4 linked regions of the Arabidopsis thaliana genome follow. The protein of the gene in region 1 interacts with the protein of each later gene in a pairwise test. Each region holds a gene or a part of one and is shown on either strand. Other genes may lie near its edges.

Evidence for each region.
Region 2: the proteins of AT4G30240 (region 1) and AT5G52050 interact in a protein complementation assay, tested with the Arabidopsis thaliana proteins (one large-scale study listed by BioGRID).
Region 3: the proteins of AT4G30240 (region 1) and UMAMIT8 interact in a protein complementation assay, tested with the Arabidopsis thaliana proteins (one large-scale study listed by BioGRID).
Region 4: the proteins of AT4G30240 (region 1) and APE1 interact in a protein complementation assay, tested with the Arabidopsis thaliana proteins (one large-scale study listed by BioGRID).

The regions. Positions count from the first base shown.
Region 1 is NC_003075.7:14,807,339-14,811,771, forward strand, and holds AT4G30240 (Syntaxin/t-SNARE family protein), read right to left. Parts: upstream 2,738-4,433; 5' UTR 2,408-2,737; coding exon 2,325-2,407; intron 2,118-2,324; coding exon 2,003-2,117; intron 1,903-2,002; coding exon 1,318-1,902; intron 1,243-1,317; coding exon 1,143-1,242; intron 1,041-1,142; coding exon 1,021-1,040; 3' UTR 984-1,020; intron 898-983; 3' UTR 551-897; downstream 1-550. Other genes in the region: AT4G30250 (P-loop containing nucleoside triphosphate hydrolases superfamily protein), read right to left, coding at 3,924-4,433.
Region 2 is NC_003076.8:21,136,948-21,141,407, forward strand, and holds AT5G52050 (MATE efflux family protein), read left to right. Parts: upstream 1-1,755; 5' UTR 1,756-1,985; coding exon 1,986-3,503; 3' UTR 3,504-3,929; downstream 3,930-4,460.
Region 3 is NC_003075.7:9,357,375-9,362,228, forward strand, and holds UMAMIT8 (nodulin MtN21 /EamA-like transporter family protein), read right to left. Parts: upstream 2,866-4,854; 5' UTR 2,498-2,865; coding exon 2,307-2,497; intron 2,206-2,306; coding exon 2,140-2,205; intron 2,098-2,139; exon of another isoform or gene 1,998-2,097; coding exon 1,881-1,997; intron 1,786-1,880; coding exon 1,551-1,785; intron 1,448-1,550; coding exon 1,283-1,447; coding exon of another isoform or gene 1,238-1,282; exon of another isoform or gene 1,215-1,237; coding exon 1,063-1,214; intron 965-1,062; coding exon 811-964; 3' UTR 532-810; downstream 1-531. Other genes in the region: AT4G16630 (DEA(D/H)-box RNA helicase family protein), read right to left, coding at 4,802-4,817.
Region 4 is NC_003076.8:15,470,393-15,477,588, forward strand, and holds APE1 (acclimation of photosynthesis to environment), read right to left. Parts: upstream 5,194-7,196; 5' UTR 5,106-5,193; coding exon 4,827-5,105; intron 4,550-4,826; coding exon 4,503-4,549; intron 4,432-4,502; coding exon 4,329-4,431; intron 4,143-4,328; coding exon 4,056-4,142; intron 3,730-4,055; coding exon 3,646-3,729; intron 3,535-3,645; coding exon 3,481-3,534; intron 3,331-3,480; coding exon 3,250-3,330; intron 3,106-3,249; coding exon 3,064-3,105; coding exon of another isoform or gene 3,060-3,063; intron 2,973-3,059; coding exon 2,944-2,972; coding exon of another isoform or gene 2,893-2,943; exon of another isoform or gene 2,717-2,892; intron 2,424-2,716; exon of another isoform or gene 2,372-2,423; coding exon 2,182-2,371; intron 1,983-2,181; coding exon 1,882-1,982; intron 1,464-1,881; coding exon 1,366-1,463; intron 917-1,365; coding exon 816-916; 3' UTR 508-815; downstream 1-507. Other genes in the region: AT5G38640 (NagB/RpiA/CoA transferase-like superfamily protein), read right to left, coding at 1-282; AT5G38650 (Proteasome maturation factor UMP1), read right to left, coding at 816-916, 1,366-1,463, 1,882-1,982, 2,182-2,307; AT5G38670 (Galactose oxidase/kelch repeat superfamily protein), read left to right, coding at 5,394-5,579, 5,790-6,479; AT5G38680 (Galactose oxidase/kelch repeat superfamily protein), read left to right, coding at 6,932-7,196.

The sequences.
Region 1 (4,433 bases):
CACACCTTTTTCTTTTTCTTTGATTTTTTCGTTATTTTGTATTTCAGCTCATTTAGAATATTTCAATATATATTTTAATAAAATTGTTTTTGAAATTGAATTGGTTAGGTGAGGAATGAATGATGATCAAAAGAAGCACGAGAAGGATATGAGAAAAATTTATTACCTTACTTTTCCCAATGGGACTAGTCGATTTTTAATGATTTAGACAGGAAGTTGTATCATTTTTTAGCATTTATCTGTGCTTCGAAGTTCATGGTTGATAAATGGTATGATCAAATTCCATCTTGAGAGACTGTGACATGCACCTTTCTTTTGTCCAGAGACTTCTAGATTCGAAAATTATTAGACATTTTTCTTTCTTCATAAATCTTTTTCACCATTATCATATGTCTATATGATACGACCTAATATTAAGATTTTTTACTTAGCTTAGAATTGACCTAAATTGGTACTTTTGGGCTGTGACACTATTAGTGATGAAAGAAATTGAGACGTCAACTATAATGCGCATTTTAAAAGAAAGTAAGACAATGATTGGAACAAATGACTTGCCAAGTAAGTGAAAGAGGACAAAGAATGTTTTGTTCCAAAACAAATATCTGAGAGACAAACAAACACTGGAGATATCATTGAGCACAAACACGCATTGGTTTCCTTTAGGTACACGTCTAAAGTTTAACGAAACGTCGTAGCTTCAAGTTTTACAAATTGATCTTACAAATTTACAGGTTCCTATATGTTCCCTGAGGATTAAGAGAGAGTAATAAATCAGGCTTTGTCCTTCATTTGAATCTTGACAAAGTCTTTTAATCTCTCCTCCTTCCCTCGAAGGATGTTGAATCATGTAGCATCTAACGAGTGTGTAACCCAATACGCAAGAATCTGTGAAAAAACCTGCAAGATACACGAAAAGGATGTAATGTTTAAAGATTGTTTTAGAAAACTTGGAGTTCTGATTTAGAATCTAAAATATCATTTACCTGTCAATGTTTCTTGAGAGTTTCTGAAACCGCGGTTTTAAGTTCTCAAGATGAATACTGCAAGGGTATAAACAAGGAATTTGATTCAGTTATAGAGAGTAGAGACTGTCATGGAACAGTGGTGTGACATAACTCATGAGAACCAAGAGAAGGACTCACATAGAAGAATCAAGATTAGCGTTAAGGAAAGAATGAGCTTAATAGGGCGGCTCAATGGAACGCGAAATCGTCTTTGATAAACCTTGACTCTGTCAAAGAGCTGCAAAATGATAAACAACTAAGACTTATGATCCTTTCTAATAGTGTAGAGATGATCCAAACTGCAGAAGCTTACCTGGTTATAATCACGACATCTCTGCAGCCAAAACATAGGTTTAGCTCCTTTCTCTTTAGGAGTGTCTTCAATATGTGATAGGAACTTCTCCCTCTCTTCTTCTTTTGCATTAACAGGGACATTAATCCTCAACGCACTGATATTTGGTACATTTGGTGAACTCCATGTTCTTCTTGTACCGCCTTTTTTATCTGCACTTTCCGGACTTCCTATGTCGTCAATGTCTATCACACAATCAGGACTGTCGCCATAACATCTACCCTCTCTTCTGCCATTGATCCCACGTGGATTCTCAGCTACAGAACTCGTTGAGGAATCTCTCAAGTTGATGCTATCACTGTTTAAACTCTCTGACGTCTGAGAAGATCCAGATAGAAACATGGCGAGATCATCACGCTCTTCTTTGTTAAGATCCACCCAACGCAAAGGTTGTTTCCCATTCTCGCTTAACGACTCTAGCAGAGTAGATTCCACTTGATAAATCTGGTTTTCAATAGCGGTAACAAACTGTTTATGCCTAGTTAAGGTAGTGTCATCTCGACAATTTCCATGGCTTAAGCTCACTGCCCTCTCAAACTCTTCCAACTGATTCAAGTCACAACAATATAACCAATATCACTAACACACTCATGAGTAACCATGAAAAAAAAAGGGAATGATCAAAGGACCATTGATTGTTTCATACCTGCCATTTAGCAGTGCTCAAAGCAGCTTGGAGTTCTTTGCAGAGCTCGTCTGATTCTACGGATACTCGACCGTCTCTCTTCTCTTTAAACCACAACCTATACGCAGATTCCATTCTGGAAATACAACACAAATAAGAAACAAAATTTCAAATTTGATAACTCAATTCCTTCACAAAACACAAAGGTTCTCACTTAGACCATTCTAGAGCCAATTAGTCCCCTAAACAATCGAAATACCCTATTTTTCAATTGAAATTCCGAATTCCACCATCACAAGCAACATGAGTCAATTAAACAAACAGAGAATCAAAAAACACATACATATCAGCAGATTCTTGAACCTCCTCAGCTGCAGAGAAAAAAACATCCTTTTGCCATAGATCGAAACTATTCGCTACCATCATCTTCGAAACCACACCTAAACCCTTCAAATTAAAGACCAAAAAATCAACCCGAAAAGATTCGTCGGAATAGATTCTCTCTCCGATTATAATCCAAAATTAGATTCTGCTTCCTTCTCTTCTCTTCTCTTCTCTTCCTTTTTTGCCTTCAGGAGGAAAGAAGGAATTTTTATTTTTTCTTCCTCCAGCTTTCTGTTTTTATTTTTTATTCCTTAAATTCTTCGATATTTCTTTGCTTTCTTCACTTTAAACGTTAATGGAAGATTTTAATAAAGAGGCCTCTCTGAACTAAATTGACCATATTTCACACGTGTTTTATTGTAATTGGGAAATAATTTAAAGTAAGATGGTCTTAGCTGCAGGAGATTACCGCTTGTCAAAGAAAAACATCAAGAATGTCCGTGTTGTTGTTGGGCCTACCGGTTTGCCGCAACATCAATTGTTCGCCAACCGCATTATATTATTATTATTATTCTTTATTTTAATACTCTCTATACAAGTCAAATGCTAATGAGTAAATAAATTCAATAAAAACTCAACGCTAATTTTAACTTTTAGTTTAGTAATAGACAGTAGGAGCAGGACAAATTGAGGTGGCATGTGTAGCGCATGTGATATCAAAATTTTAACTAGTTAAATTGAAATTCATAAAATGAAAACATGTTTTGGTGTTTTCAGTTTTGGAGAGACATGTTTTGTTAAATAAATTTAATTAATTAGTTGTTGTGATATGGTGAAATACCACCTTCTTCAACAAATCCCAACCTTGATTTTGGTGTTTTCAGTTTTAATTAGTTACCAAGACCTGTTTTTGTTCTTATTTAGACATTAACCGGTGGTAGATTCTAGAGATTGGGCCCATAATATATATATATATTTTTTTTGATCAAAAAGATTGGGCCCATAATATAAAACAACTTTTTTCTGATGCAAATCTCTTTGGGTAGGATTGGGCTTCACTACTACAATATGTCAAAAATCAGCGGTCAATATTATATTTAGAAAAAAAAAAAGAACGGATGGATTTTTCAGGTCACTTCTAGTTTGAAGTCAAGTGTTTGATGTGATGATTCTTTAAATGTCACTTCTCGAGTAAATTGTTTTCTTGAACTATAAATTTTGAAATTTACAGGTTTCACATATAACCTGTATAAAAAAGGGTGTGACACTAACCAATTTACAACACCCAAAGTCCAAACGCCAATTCTCTTTTATCTCTTCAAAACAAACGTAACCGACACGAAAATTTGAGACAACATATACAACAACAAAGTGGCAATTTCTGCAGCATTAGTAGATACAAAAGCCAGTTTAGTCTCAACTCTCATGTAGCAAATCTCAGAAGGTTAACTTTGGACAGTGCCTACTTTTGACTTAAGAGTAAACCAAAATGGATAACGTTATATTATATGGTAACTAATCATATATTATAATAATTTTGACTAAACAAAACGGATAATTAAAAACACACAAGAACCACCATTAGATGATGATCCTAGGATAAACAGTCTCTTATCATTCACTTCTCCTTCTCATCTTCTTCTTCTTCCTCCTCTCGAAACCCACAAACCTCTCTGTTTCTTCTATTAGGACTATCCAAAGCTCTCTTCTCTTGTTCTTCCTCTGCTTCTTCTTCTTCTTCTTGACCTTCCTGTTTCTTCTTCTTCAATCCAACACTCTTCCTTCTCTTCACAACTCTCTCCTTCAACACACTCACAATCTCCCTCACCGCCTTCTCCGCATCACTCCTATTCCTAATCAACACTTCACTAACATCAGCCGGAGTAATCTCTGCTTCCTCCACACATTCTTCCATCTCCTTCAAAACAACACTATCCATATCTTCTTCCTCAAGCCTCAGATAATTCTTCAACAGAATCTTCAAAGCCGGAAACTTACAAAAACCCATGTGAACATGCATATCCATCCTCCCACTTCTCATCAGAGCAGAATCTAACTTCTCTATATGATTTGTCGTGAACACAAATATCTTCTCACTCCCACAACAAGACCAAAGCCCATCTGTGAA
Region 2 (4,460 bases), on another chromosome or scaffold:
CCTTTGTTTTTTTTTAAAACAAAATTTCAATAGAGGTTTTGTCGATTAATATCAAAAAGAAATAATTTAAACTTGAATGTATTATACAGTAGAAACATCATTAAATAGCATTCAAAATGAATAAAATTTGTAACAGTTAGTTCTTGTGTTAGTTTATGTATAGAAATTTTAGCGAAGTATAGTTGTTGACCCAAAAAAAATGTAGGAACATATATAGTTTTCTTTGGTCCCAAAACGAGTTTATTTTTTGTTCTTCAGTGTTGAACACTATTTTGCTCGAACATGTCTGGTCAACGTCCGACCAGCCAATTCCACTTCATAGTTTGCATATTAACGAACTTCCATCTTTTTGCTGATTACAGCTTTCATTATACCGTTTAGATTTTTCTTTTTTTGCCTAAATAAAAAAATATGACCCTAAACATTCGTAATTAATAGAAAACATTAAATAAGTACGATACAAAAGACTGAATCTCTATAATAATAGATTGAGACCATATTCTTGTGAGATAAATAAAAGATTGAGACCATATTCTTGTGACAATTGGTATACAATTAGGTTACAAATATTCTAATCCAAATTTAATTTCGAGAACATAATCGTGTGAGTAACGATAAACAATTTCATTTTGTTTACAAAGATATATGATATATTGCACTTTTTAAAATCTAATATGCTTACTTTTTTGAGCTGTCATTAATCCCCAAACTCCACTTTGGGATTTTTTTAAAAAGTCTAATTCAACGCGTGGGGCACACCGTGTGTAAACTTCGACTTTGAAAAGTTATAAACAGAAAATGATGTTTTTTAAAAAAACAGGGAAAAAAAGAGAAGTTTCTATTTGAAATAGGTTCAAAACCCACTGGCCAAGTACTTTGTTAGTGGCATGTTTATCATGAGAATATATTTGACCCGTCCCTTGTTTCAGTTTTGCTATTACGTTCCGTGTCAGTTAATTTAAAACTCTAATCATATCTTATTTGATTAAAGAATATAGTGATGATGAAAAGTTATATTTTGTGTACTTGAATGTTTGAGTTGGGCCTCGTCTATCATATGGCAATATCTCCTTTAAGTGTGTGAACGTAAATTACCAATTTCAAGGTCCTCCTCTTAACGTAAATTATCCCAGCTCTCAGGGTTTTTCAGCAAGGGAATAATATAACAATCTAATTAGTCAAAAATTGGATCAAGTGCTAGTAAATTATGCTTGGTTTACTAATCTTTCCTCATTCTTTTTTCCCCATTTTGATTTATGAGGATCACGTTTAATGTAAGGTTTAAATTTCTCAAACCAGAGCTGGTTGTCATCGTTTAAATGAATCTATATGCATGTATTCTATTCCATTAGAAATTATACACACGTAGTTAACTGTAATTAGCTATAGTTAAATCCGTACACACCGTTTTTTCCAGTTTGAATCAGTATAGTGATACATGATATAAGTATATAACATGCGTATAATCAACATACATGATTTAGACAAAATATATTATTATTCTAATTTTTGTCATATAGATTTTGATTCACATTATAAACTGTATATATTGACAAGAAAAAAAAAACATTTGACAAAAGAAGAAAATAATAAACATTTTTTGAAATCATGATTTTGAGGTGATAGTCTATTTATACTAATACTAATGATACTATGTGTCAATGCATCACTAATACATCTTCAGATTGAGTAGAAACCGTGTATATGGATTTAACTCTAGTTAAACAACAAGAACATACAAATTTGAATGTAATAAGCGTGTAACCATTTGACTTGAAAATAAAATACATATGACCAAATTGAAAATAATAATATTAAAATCCAGTGCAACGAAAAAAATAATATGTTAAAACAATAAAACCCACTCACTACTTTCTCTATATAAAGCCAAATGCTTCAACCAATCTTCTTCACACCTACAAATCTTCTTCTTCTCTCTCTCTCCCTCTTCCTCTGTCACACAGATATTGACAAAAACAAAAAGAATGAGTCAATCAAATCGTGTCAGAGACGAAGTTACATTACCTTTACTCCAAAAAACCTCTCATCTGAAAAATCACTCCTCTGTTCTCTCTGTTTTCCTAAATGAAGCAATCTCAATCTGCAAAATCTCTTACCCATTGGTCCTCACTGGTCTCTTCCTCTACGTTCGCTCCTTCGTCTCTCTGTCTTTCCTCGGTGGTCTCGGTGACGCCACTCTCGCCGGTGGCTCCCTCGCCGCCGCATTTGCAAACATCACCGGATACTCTCTTTTCTCCGGTTTAACCATGGGCGTTGAGTCTATCTGTTCACAAGCCTTTGGAGCCAGACGCTATAACTACGTCTGCGCGAGTGTCAAGAGAGGAATCATCCTCCTTCTCGTCACTTCTCTCCCTGTTACACTTCTTTGGATGAATATGGAGAAGATTCTTCTAATCTTGAAACAGGACAAGAAGCTCGCGTCCGAAGCGCACATCTTTTTGCTTTACTCTGTTCCAGATCTTGTCGCTCAATCTTTCTTACACCCATTAAGAGTTTATCTTCGGACTCAGTCAAAGACTCTTCCTTTATCAATCTGTACAGTGATCGCGAGTTTTCTTCACTTGCCAATCACGTTCTTCCTTGTAAGTTACCTCGGTTTGGGGATTAAAGGAATCGCTTTGAGTGGTGTTGTGTCTAATTTCAACCTTGTCGCTTTCCTCTTTCTCTACATCTGTTTCTTCGAAGACAAGCTAAGTGTTAATGAGGACGAGAAGATAACAGAGGAGACATGTGAAGATAGTGTGAGAGAATGGAAGAAACTACTCTGTCTTGCGATACCAAGTTGTATATCGGTTTGTCTTGAGTGGTGGTGCTATGAGATTATGATTTTGCTTTGTGGGTTTCTCTTAGACCCTAAAGCAAGTGTTGCTTCAATGGGAATTCTCATCCAAATCACTTCTCTTGTGTACATTTTCCCTCATTCCTTGAGTTTAGGAGTCTCCACCCGGGTCGGAAACGAGCTTGGTTCTAACCAGCCAAAAAGAGCGAGAAGAGCAGCCATTGTTGGACTTGGTCTCAGCATCGCCCTAGGGTTTACGGCTTTCGCGTTTACTGTCTCGGTTAGAAACACATGGGCGATGTTTTTCACTGATGACAAAGAAATCATGAAGTTGACTGCCATGGCTCTGCCAATCGTTGGTCTATGTGAGCTCGGGAACTGCCCGCAAACTACGGGATGCGGTGTTCTCAGAGGCTCCGCGAGGCCGAAGATCGGAGCTAATATTAATGGAGTGGCGTTTTACGCGGTTGGCATTCCGGTTGGAGCAGTTTTGGCGTTTTGGTTTGGGTTTGGATTTAAGGGACTTTGGCTTGGGATGCTTGCGGCGCAGATCACGTGTGTGATTGGTATGATGGCGGCGACGTGTAGGACCGATTGGGAACTTGAGGCGGAAAGGGCTAAGGTGCTCACAACGGCGGTGGATTGTGGCAGTAGTGACGACGACGCCAAGGAGGATATGGAGGCTGGGATGGTTGATAAGTAGGGAGGAATGAGTCATGAGGAGGTCTTTAACAAAAACAAATTGACTTTGTTTTGAATTAGTTGATAACTTTTTTCTTTTATTGAGAAGAGATTCGTTGGAGGATTAATGTAAATTTTGTAGTGTAATGATAACACAATCTAGAGATTCGTCGTTGTATTCAAGGTTTTTAAATTCATAAGGTCAAATTTTGCTCAAATCGCTTAAACCTTTCTTTATTCGACAGAATTCAGTTACATTGTATGTTTTGTTTAGTGTAACGATTTTTTTGGACGCAGAATAAATCTTGAGAAAATAAATAAACTAACCATTGACCTTACTGAAGAAAATCAATAACCATGGGATTGTGGGTGTCTTTGTTAATTCAATCAATATAACAAACTAAAGTAGCACATGCGGACGAAATGTAAAAATAATGGGGGATTTTTTTTTTTAATATGCATAAATAATTATATAACTATATTTAAATAACTGCAAATAAGGTGTGTACAAGGAATTAAATTCACATATGTATTATAACCATAGTCGACAATTTCAAATATACATGTTTGATTAATTAGCTTCTAGTGATGCTTCGAGGCAAAGTATATCCCTCTATGTGATAGATCATTTACACATCAATTTCTTCCGTGGTAAAATAAAATAGATAAAACCTTTGCGATTATTAAAAAAGCCATAACTATGGGATCATGGTTAGTTTGTGTTTTCTTTTACTTTGGAAACTCCTGATTTAAATAGAAAAACATTTAACATAAAAGAAAAAGCCTTTATTTACACACAGAAGTTTAGCCAATCACTTACTTCTTTCCAAATGCTGCTCACAAAAATAAGTTTTTTCATATTTTCATTAGGATAACGTCAAAAATATCATTTATTTATTTAATAAATCTTTTATCGCTAATTTTATTTTCTATTTTTTATCTTTTTAATATCGTTTATCGTTACATATAATAACTTTAG
Region 3 (4,854 bases), 5.4 Mb from region 1:
TGATGGAGGAATTGTAATCCTTCTTTTGTCCCCAACACACATGCCTGTGAAATTTTTAAAACTTGAGAGCAATACACCATTTGAAACAAAGTGATGAAAACCTTTAGGAGGACGAAACTAAGTTACCATTTAAGCCAACATCCCATCCCTTAATGACTTTACCATGACCTGCATGTAACAACAACTTCATAAGTATCACGTACCAATCACATAACTCCATCCCTTAATTGCCATATCACATAAGTATTAAAAGGTGCTTTTCCAATGGTGGAATCGAAGATCTTCCCGTTCTCTTGAAGCTTTCCGATATAGCGGACACTAACCTGCTTGGTCATCTGCTATGTAATGACAATTCTATAAATACCCTGACTTGCGTTTTTTTGTTTCTACCTTGTTTGTCATTATCTAACTCCATCTCCACACCTGACTTATACTCTGGCTCAGCTTTTCTTTGGGAATAGGAAAACAGTCTTTGGCGTGTATTTGCTTAGTTCCATTCGCATTCTCATATTAGGTAGGTTTATCTTCATCTTCTAACTCAACGGTAATTTTTATTTATATATAAATATACCTTCACATTGAACAACTTTTTACATAACATCGTTTAGGCCCTTTTTCTTCGCCCTGTATGTATGTGATGTTTTTTTTATATCCAACTATTTTAGTATCACACACGAACATATACTGTAGTCTACAGCCTACTACATGTATATCTAACCGAATTATCTGTAAAGTAAAATTGTCTTACTTCTTTAAACCTAAACTAAATTCACAAGAACATTAAGAAGAAGAAAAAAAAAAGACTTTGAACTAAAGCAAGAGAGGCTTCTGAAGATCAAACTCTGTTCTAAGCAAACTTTCTTCATCATCTTGTTTCATTTCATCTATTTCTTCACAATCCTCTTTTCCTTTAGCCCACAGAACGAAGTAGAGTCCTCCGAACATCAACGCCATTCCCGCAAAGCTAATTTGACAGAGAAAAACAAACAAGAAAGAAGATAAATGACTTCTCTTTCTGTCTAAAAGATCATACAATGAATGCGAAAAGCTGCAAAAATGTACCTTCCTAGGTTGAAACTCTCTTCCATGGTAAAAGCAGAGACAACAACACATACCACAGTTGCAATTGGACTAAAGAGAGACACAATCACTGGTCCTTTCCTCTTAATCACCCATGCATTGAAGCTTAACCCTCCTCCACTCACCAACCCTCCCTAGAAAAAAAACAAAAACATTTTCAACACATCCAAATGTTGCCAACCATATATGATTTATGACGTACCAGTATTGCGTATCCCACAAGGTGGCCGAGACCGATTACTGATGCACTTCCCATTTCCATACTTCCCTTAAGAGCATACTGCAAAGCTACTGTGGTGATCCCACCCATCAAAGATACCATCGAGAACATTGATATAGGCGCCGGAAACTCGGCTAGTATGGATGCCTAATTAGGACGATCAAAGTGATTTCACAAGCAAAGAATCAGATTAATTAGCACAACCGGATATATGATAGCTCTAGGGCTAAGAAGGGGTATAAGGTGAAACCTGAAGGACAATACTAGAGGACAAGCCGCAAATGGCAAGGAGGAGATAGAGGCAACCTAAGATCTTGTCCTTGTCCACAACGACTTCGTCAGGGACAATAGGTATAGTCTTAACCGAGCTTAAAGTAGCGGTAGTACTGTGCATTAAGCTCATAATGAGAGCTCCCATCACACACAACACTGTCCCTCCCATCTTAACTCTACTATACATACAACTTAGCTTCACTTTCTCCATCCTTAACAATTACAATTTATTCAAATAACACATTAATGAAAGCTCTAATCTTCAAACACTAAACAGATTAGATTAACACAAAAGTAAAAGATTTACCCAGCAGCCCAAGCAATGACAAAAATGAAAGCAGGGCAGAGATTAGGCATAGCTGTAGCCATTGAAGCAGAGGTGTGTTTCATTCCTTCCAAGAATAACCCCTGGAACAGAGTCACTCTGTTTCAAACACAACTTCTCTCTTAATTAATCCCTTGTTATGAATTTTTAATTCTTCTCCTTCTCTTTAACGTATAGAAGAAGCAAGGTAAGCATCTATTAATCAAAACATGCAGAAATAAATAAAAAGAGGAGTTTTTACCCAGCAAGAGCAACCAAAACTAGTTTTATCTTCAACTTGAAACTTAGACTTCTAGGCCAAAGCTTCCTACAAATACACACCACAAAAATCCAAATTTTTATTAGAAAAAGAATGTAGAATAAAGTTCGAAACAGAGATTTTGTAAATTAAAAGAAAGAAGAAGATACCTTTCAAGGAGAAAAGCGAGAGGGGTGATGAGAAGAACTGATGCAAAGGTGCATAAGATAACGATAAGAAGTGGGTCAATTCCGAGAGACAGCAACTGACTCAGTAGCTCCGAGTTTCCGGCGTAAATCACCTGAGCTCCGGCCAATCCTCCGATTATTCCTGCTTCTATTAACGTCTCTCTCTTCATCATTTTTTCAACACAAAAAAAACACGAAGAAAATAAAAAGAATAATAACGGACAAATCAGTTGGAACCCATTTGGTAACCGAACAGAAGGATTCGATTTTGTGGGGGAACTAAAAAAGCAGAGAAACACTAATTAAGTTTTTGGTTTTGTTGTTGTTGATAAATGAAAATAGAAAAGATGCTTTGTTTGTGATCTCTCTTTTTGGTAATGTGTAATGCTTGAAGTTGAAACTTTCTCTATCTTTCACTTCTTGCTTTTAAAGACATGTGTCCATTACATTGCATTGGTTTTATTATGGAGTGTCTCGCCATTATAGCTTTTTGGGGAAGCGCAGATTTTAATTTATTTTTAGTCTAAAACGGTGATTATTTTTATAACACATAGAGTCCTCAAATTTTGGTGCAATGGATTTAATATGTATGAAATAAGACAAAACAAAAATTTGAGAGCGGTTAGCTTAATTTGTTAAGAAATAAATATTTCGGTGAGTCTGATATTTCTTAAATAGAACAAATAAATAAATAAATAAAATTCGCCAAATCGGCTAGGCAAAAATTTAAGATTATTCAAATTGTCAAGATTTTTATTTGGGAAGTTGCCACTATATTAATAAAATTTGGAATATAAAACCATAGTTTTGATTGGTAAAATAACGTAATAAAAATAGCAAAATTATAAAACAAGATTCTATTTATTTAAGACTAAAGAATAATATGTTTATTTTGTCAGTAAAGTCATTTAAAAAAAGGTGGAATGATCGATCATAAATCGCCCTCACACAAATTTATGTTAAAGATGAAATTCTGTACTACAGTGAAGTTTAAAAACATGCAGAGTATGAAAAAGAAAGATAAACCAAAAAGAAAGGAGAAGAAGGAAAAAAAGACAGATGCAATAAACTCCGTCAGATTCGGGGACCTTGGCCTTTTCTCGGGGGAGTAACAAAAATATTTATCAGTGTTCTTCTTTTGTTTGTATTCTTATTTTTGGATATATAATACGACATCTTACCATCTTCTCCTTTATTCGTTTTACGTATCTGACTATCTGTTCACTCTTTACTTCCTTCTTTTTTTCTTGCATGCAAATATGGAATGTCTTCATATTTGTATTTGTCACAGTCTCACAGATAAATCATATGTGTATGCCATGTGCCTACCTACCTATAATCATTTTTATTGGTAAAAAAAGCTTCCTATTCTAATATCCTTGTTAATGCTAATGAGATGGTTTAGTGATCTGTTTTCATACCGAAATGTTTTAGTTATTTAACCCAAAACACCAAAGGATGGTTTAGTGATTCGTTTTCACACCGAAATAGTTTTATGATCAAAATATTTTCTAGGGATCAGTTTTAACTAGAAAACTAGACTAGAGTCTATAACGAATTAGTTATTTTATAATAAATGATGTGCCTATGAAAGATTTTTAATTGGAGATGTATAATATTGGAGATGTTGTGTGGAGTGTAAAATATGGTAGGTGAAGCGTAAGATAAGAAAAAATGAGGAGTGTAAGAAAGAAAAGAGCAAAAGTGGGGATGCTTACACGTCAACAATCCTCAGTCTCTTTTCCAATGACTTGTGAAGCGTGTTATCGTCTCTCTTTTCTCCCCCTCTTTTTTTCCCAACAAATATAATATGCGATCTATCTAAATATATTAAGTTAAGAGTTTAATCTTTATCCACATACATTTTTTTCTTTTGTAACATCTGTTATCCATATCATGAAAATTTAATGCGTTTAAAAGCTTAGAAACATTTCACGCTGACCAAAAAAAAGAAAAGTTCACGCTCAAAACACTTAAGACTTAGTTTTATAGACCCTAACTAGTATCAAAACCCCTTGGTGTGAAATAAAAGGCATCTTGAATATGCAGAAACTCATATTAGCTCCTAAACCGGTTCAAAACATTCTAATGACTAATGAGTTGTGCCACGTACGAACAGACAAAAGGTTACAGTCTCAAGTTCTGAAGTCTGTGAACATACATAGTCTTCTCACGTGCCCACGCGTCTACAACTACAACCGTCGCCAACTCACGTGACTTTTTACCTCTTCTTTTTTTTTTTAATTTTTTTTTAAACCACTTTTTGCTTCTTCATACTACGAATAATCATGGTAAAGCTTTATGAAAGATTATAAAAACCATAGGACAAAGAAAACAAAATTTCGAACATCTTAACCAGTTTTGTTCTAAATTATGATATTACAACAATAATTTAAATTGTTTAAACCCTTCTCAATGAAATGTCCTTCTTCTCGTGGGATTGTCCTTCGATATCTTCTCAAAAATGCTTTTTCCTTTTACCTACGCTTATATCTGCACGATAAAAGTAGAAAATACCGAGTTAAACCAA
Region 4 (7,196 bases), on another chromosome or scaffold:
GTAAGAAAACGAAGAAGGAGACACGGCTGACGCAGCAGCACCAGCGACAGCGACTCGAAGAGGGAAAGTATCAGAGGAATTGAGACGAGGAGGAGGAATCATGACGGGGGAGAGTGAGTTACCGGAAGGAGAAATGGTGGAAGAAGAAGAAGAAGCAGAGGTAGCAGCGATCGGGTCGGGTTGTTGTTGTTGAGTTGATGAATCGGGTTGAGATGATGTGAAGAAACCGACTTGTCGGACCTTTGGATCTACTACGGCGCGAGGGTTCCGACGAGACTCCATCGCGTCGGAGGAGAAGAAGCTCTGGATTTTTTCTCGGTGAAGACGGAATTATTAATTTTGGGGATCGAATTTAATTTTTGTTTTCCCAGACGAATAAAACGTAGAATAGGGTTTTTATTTTTATTTATTTACTTTTTCAGATTTATCCGATGTTAACAGTCCAGTCCGAGTCACTAAAACAATCTTACTTTGTTCTTTTGTTTTTGTTTTGTTTAGAGTATTAATCCATATGCAATTTATTTATTCTAATAGAATCTAGTATCCAAGGTTTTGGTGTCAGTAACATAATAATGAAATAGGAGCATAATCTTATTTAAATAACTAAGCAAGTCCAACAAATTGTGAACTGAGAGAGATAAGAACTGAAACACAGTTCATATGTTTTATCATGTTCAGAGCAAAGGAGACACAGTATAGAGAAGAGATCAAACAACAAGTAGATTCTTTTAGGGCTGGTGGAAATTCATAACATGATCTTACTCAGATTAAAAAGCATATGAGACCTGACGAAGGAAATACTTTGATGGTGGTGACTACATGAAACTTGGGGAAGCTGGGCCTTTGGAGAGACCAAGCCGAACTTCCATCCCGTGGTGAAAGTCTACTGGTTTCAGCGTCTCGGATTCGCGAGGATCTGTAGATTATACACCATTCATCGTCAGAACAATATAAATTGTGAAACTAAGAGAATTAAAAAGTTTAAACATTTTTCTCTTATATACTGAACCAAAAGTTCAACTTTGGTTACACAATGTAAGTAAGTAGTATGTGACAGTCAATTTTTGAGCAATGCTCGATGATTTGTGACAGTCTAACTGGAACAAAGGTTTGTCACTGTCTATTGGTGTTTTGGAGTGGAACAATCTACAAAGTAGAGACTAGTAAGCGAAACGAAATAAACAAGTTGAGACACTTTTCTATTATATGCTAAACAAAGAGTTAAACTCTATGCAAGGATGAGGATGATTTGGTTACACAATGCAAGCAGTATGTGACGGTCATGTTTTGAGAAATGCTCAAAGATTGTAGGAATAGAAAACTCTAATGCACAACCAAATGGGAAAACTGGTGTAAAACAATTACCATTCAAGTAATCCTCAAAACCAAAATTATCTAGAGCTCCTGTGTAGACTTCAAGGCCAAGCATTGATGAAGGAATTGGTCCAGGAGGTCTCTGAAACCTGAATACTCCACATAAAAAGATATACAATAAATATTCAATTCACCAATAAATATTCAATGAAGAAGAGGCTGCTCTATGCGTTTATGGTTCTGAATTCAATCTACATATTGCTACTAATTTAAGAGTATCCACTACGCGTTTATGGTTCTGCAAATCTAATTCTAAGTAGCACTACACGATTATGATTCCGAATTTTCGATATAATCATTATGATGATTCATATACACATTTGTACTAACAATATTTCAAAATTCAGAACAGCAATTGACCTAATCAAGATAGATTACTAGCATTAGGAAACCATATTTCAATCTTAACAGTATTCTATAAAGCCTAAGGAAGATTCTCATACATTCTCATACCTAATAATCAGTGTAATTCAGAATTTCATATGCTACAGATTTAAAGATCCATACCGAGAAAGGATTTGTCTATCAAGATCCATCTTCAAAGGAAGAGCAGCTCCATAAGTATGCGTGATCACTCTCCTCTTCATTTCTTCTTGTGATTGCTTCCCCTGAAATCACAATAAACAAGTTTATAGAAAGGAAAAAAAAAAACTAATTTCAGAAACCCCGTCAAAAAATCCCAATTCTCAAATTTCTGAATCAACACGAAGCTTATTCATCAACACCCTAAGTTCCTTAATTAGCCTAATTTTCTAATTCCTCAATATCAATAAAAAAAAAAAAAAAGATTGTGAAGTGATTGATTACAGATTCGTAAGCCGTTTCGAGAGGATGAGATCTAAGGATATCGCTCTTAACGCCGTGAAGACCAAAGCGAAGAGCATCGTTCTTCATACCTCCGATCTCATGAGCTATCTTCTTCTGCGACTCCATCTCTCCTCTTCCTCTTCGTTTTTTTTTCCTCCGCCGTTCTACTTTTAACTTTCTCGGCGACTTTCTGGGCAAGCAAGCAAGGCAAAAGTTTCAGAGAAAGAAGAAGGAATGATTTTGCTTAAGTTTAGTAGAATGAATTTTATGTAAAGCTCAAACTCAAGGCCCATTTGGGCTTTTCTTATTTGTAAGCCCATAAAACTCTTTTTTCTGTCGCATATTTCTTTCCTAACCTTTTTTCTTTCTTACAACACATTTTTCTTTTCTAACTTATGTGCTTAATTTGATACTTTTTTTAAGGCTTTAGTTTGGTAATTTAAAACAAACTAATATATTTTGTATTGTTCACCAAGATATGAATAATATACAGTATATGTATTTTGTTTACTCAAATCAAAATTACTCTAGAACACGTTGCAATCGTAGCTTGTCCCCTTCCGACCGTATTACCATTCGACAAGGCTAGTTCCAATTCCCATTTCTGTAAATAGTATGAACTTTTTATACATAGGATAATTATATAGAATTGATTTACAAGACCAAAATAACATTGACTGAAAACGTCGCCGTATACATGATTGTCTATGTTCAAGAGGTAGAAGATACAGAGTTGGTGGAGAGGTTGGAAATCAGTCTTACTTCATAGAGATTCTCACTTTCTCCTTTACCTTCAAAGCAAAACAACAATAATAATTTTTTAAGAACCGAGAACAAGAAATTCATAAACATGAATGGAGAATTGATTCACTACTTACCGACTTCTGCCGTGATGTTTGGTCCAAAGAAGGAAGTGAATTTCGCCTATCAAAACAAAATTTTTATGCTTAGTTCCAGCTTTATGTTTTGCTACTTCTTAAAAACTAGATTTGATAAAACCAACGCTACTTAAGCTATTTTCTTATGCGCCAAGCTGATTTGTTAGTAGTATATGAATCTAACTCTTACCTGTCTTTTTTCAAAATCTGACAACGTCAGAGCTTTGGCCTCAAATACAAGGACCACACAGTACCGACCATCGGTCAGGACCTACAGACATGATGAGTTATCAAAAATGATCCGTTTAAGTTTAGTTTCACCAGTCAATATCCATGTCATATGCAAGTAAAAATTGAGTTATATATTTTGATGATTCATGTAAATAATATGATGTAAAGTCATGCGCGTGAAGAAATGTACCTCTTCCCTTATCAGCTGTAAGATAGGTGCACTACGTCTCGGGATTCCTCCTCCCTTATGACCAAAACAGTCGAAAGAAAGAGAGGTTAAAGCGGAAGTACAAGAAGCGTGTGTTGTGCTTCATTTTGTTTTCGTGCTTCATTTTGTTTCAACAAAATAGCTTACCAGCCCATATTGAAAGATTCGTTTTAGTGCTTCTTCCAAATGTTGTTCATCTCCATAACGGTATCTCGTGACATCATTTCTAACCTAATAAAAGAAAGAAGAAGGCACATTAACAATTCACGAGAAGTAAATTTAAAATCCTATGTGCACTGACAAAACTACGATGTGATGTCATATAGGGAAACTAAACTGAGCAAGACTTTCTGCAAAAGAACCTATGATACTGAAATCAAGCTAGTGTTTAGATTGAATTTCGAAATACTAATGACGAAAACTACTAACACCCCTTCCTCTTATCAGAAACATAAATATGTTTTAGGAAATTAATGTAACAAAGACGAGCTGAAGAACAACTAAAATCAGATTGAAGGTACTCCGGTCAGTCGAGAGTAACCAGAACCACTACGTACCTGCGTTAAAATAGGAGTAGCACAGCTTTCTCTAAGCTTCACCGCATCCGAATAGCTCAAGCAAGGAACTGGTTTGAGTTCTGCGTACTGCAAAGGAAGCAAAACCCATCCTCAGGGACTAAAACAATTAACCATTCCGAAAACTCAAAGAAAGAAATGAGTAACTCTAATACAAAAGTCAATTTTCTCAGTAATTTTACAGTTATCCGAAACATTCCACTTTCTCAAGGACATGATAGTGAGAAAGATAACTAAAGAGCATAAAGAGCATACCTTAAGAGCCATTCCGATAATAGAAAGGGGAAATCCATATGTTAGCATTATAGCAGACCACTCAGTTCCAGGAAGGATAGTAAAATAGGCCCCAAAACCATACCTGTTAAACAGATCCATAATGCTAAACCTCACATATACCCATAGCAACAAAGAAGGCAAGAGAAAACTCACGAGAGTAGCGAAACCCCGAGACCTAGCCCAATAACACCAAATGAAATCTGCAATGCAAAACATATGGAAAAAATTTCAGTGTCCAAAATTATTCCAACGCACATTCAATACCACCTATAAACTATGAGTTGCATACATCAAATCCTTCCTAATTCTCAATTTCAGACCACTAATAATCGAATCTACCTACTTGGAGAGACACTATACTTTTACCATAAATCTCACACAGTTCACAAAATTGGACAAGGCAATGACTGATTCAGGAATAGTTAATTATATAAACACAATGAATTTGAAGAAACTCTTTAATTAGGGATTTAAAACCTTGGCTAAAGTGAATTCATCATCAGGAATTAAGGTTCTATCACCGGAAGCTACTGATGGAGAAGAGCTCGTGGAATCAGCAGCTCTTCCGACGACATCGAGCTTTAAAACCTCTCTTTTCAACCTCGTCTCGGGAATATAAAGCCATCTCTGCTTTGGCATCAGAGACGGTTGTGAGGACGAAACGACGGATAGATTCTCATGGCGACGACCGCAAAGATCTAGCCGCCGACTGGAGAATAAGACGGTGGTTCCCGGAGCTACCGTTATAGATCCCATTTTCTTCCTCTTCTCTTCTCTCTCTGTGTATCTTTTGTGAGAGTAGTAATGTGAGGCTGAGGTAAAGAAGTGTATCGGCCGCCAAAATTCTGGCCACGGTTCACCTATTCTAAATTCGGTCTACTAAACCCGGTCAACAATCAAAATCAATTGGCGGTTCGGATTCTATTGACTATGGAAAGTTGAACCGGTTTTTCCTTAAGCAAAGACGTGAGCCGGTTTTGGAAATTTCTTTATAAAGACCGATCCTTGAAGTTCTCTGCAAAGTTGGAGAAGAAGCGGTACACGATGCAGTCGCAAACGAACCCTAATCCGTCACTTCCCGATGATTTGATATTGAGCTGCGTCGCACGGGTCTCAAGATTGTATTATCCGGCTCTCTCCCTCGTCTCCAAGAGCTTTCGATCTCTCATAGCTTCACCGGAGCTTTACAAGACCCGATCACTCTTGGACCGCACGGAGAGTTGTCTCTATGTGTGCTTAAAGTTAAATCCTTAAGATGAGAAACCGAGGTGGTTTACTCTTTTCCGTAAACATACTGGAACCCTAAAGTCAAGTGGGTATGTTTTGGCTACAGTCCCATTTCCACATACTCCTCTTGAGTCATCTTCTTCGAGCATTGTGTCGGTTTGTTCTAGTATCTACAACATTGGCGGATATGAATTGCCTTCCTCTAGCGTCTAGATTCTGTATTGCACGTCTAACACGTGGCACGAGGGCCCTAGGTTGCGGGTGAAGCTAATGTCATGTACTGCTTGCGTTCTTGATGAAAAGATATATGTATCAGGAAGATGCAAAGATGGCGACTCCATGACGTTCCAAGTGTTTGACACAAATACACAAACTTGGGATCCTTTGTCTGTCCCTTGCAGCGAGACAAAACACGACTTTCACTACAAAATCGTAAGGTTTGACGGAAAATTGCACCTGGTGAGCTACAAAGGTGTGGATGCTTACAATTCCAAGGAAGGTAGATGGGACCTGGTTACACCAAGCATAGAACATAATAAGTATTTATATGATTGTTATCGCAATATAGGGAATGTTTGGTACACTATTGTAAAAGGAGATATCTCAACGTCCGTATGGTGGTATCACAGTGAGGAAAGAGAGTGGAGAGACTTGAAGGGTATGGTAGGATTACCTAAGTTCCCTATTGATGCTTGTCTTAGAATGGTTGATTATGGTGGGAAGATGGCAGTTTTGTGGGACGACTATTTGCCTGGGCGCCGAAAGAAGATGATTTGGTGTGCGGAGATTGCGCTTGAAAGACGCGGAAGTTTGGAAATATGGGGAAAAGTTGAATGGTTTGCTCATGTGCTTACAGTCCCTAGACAATATGAATTCGTCAAGGTTCTTGCTGCTACTCTTTGATGAATGCGTTACGAGCCTTGAAACTATGATTTTGTCCCTTGTTTCACTTCTAATTAATTTATGTCACTTATTGATTGATAAGCATAATTCTTTACCATAAAAGAAATCCGACATTACAAAAACTGAATATACAATATCATAATAAGAAATATAGAATACATACATAAATTCTTAAAACTAACTCACATCTCACAACTATAAGGATCGTTTCATACCTAGAGATTTCGAGTGATCATTATTAGCATACAAATAGAGCCTTTTTGGTTGTTCATAAATGAAGCTATCAACAACTCACTACTCAATGCTTAACCAAACAAAACATACAAAACAAATAACCGGTTCTCCCCTTAACCAAAGGCATTAACCGGTTTTAATCCCTCTATATATAAAGTCCAACCCTAAATTTGTTTTCTCCAAGTTCAACAGCCATTTTCGTCTCTTAAACTCATCCAATGTCGTCCCCGGAAAAGTTTTCGCCAGCGCCGGAATCGAACTCAAATCCGTCACTTCCCGATGCTTTGATAATAAGCTGCATCGCACGAGTCTCAAGATTGTATTATCCGATTCTCTCCTTTGTCTCCAAGAGCTTTCGATCTCTCCTAGCTTCACCGGAGCTTTACAAGGAACGGTCACTCTTGAACCGCACCGAGGGTTGTCTATATGTATGCTTATACTTAAATCCTTTTGAGAGCCCTAGCTGGTTTACTCTCTGCTTGA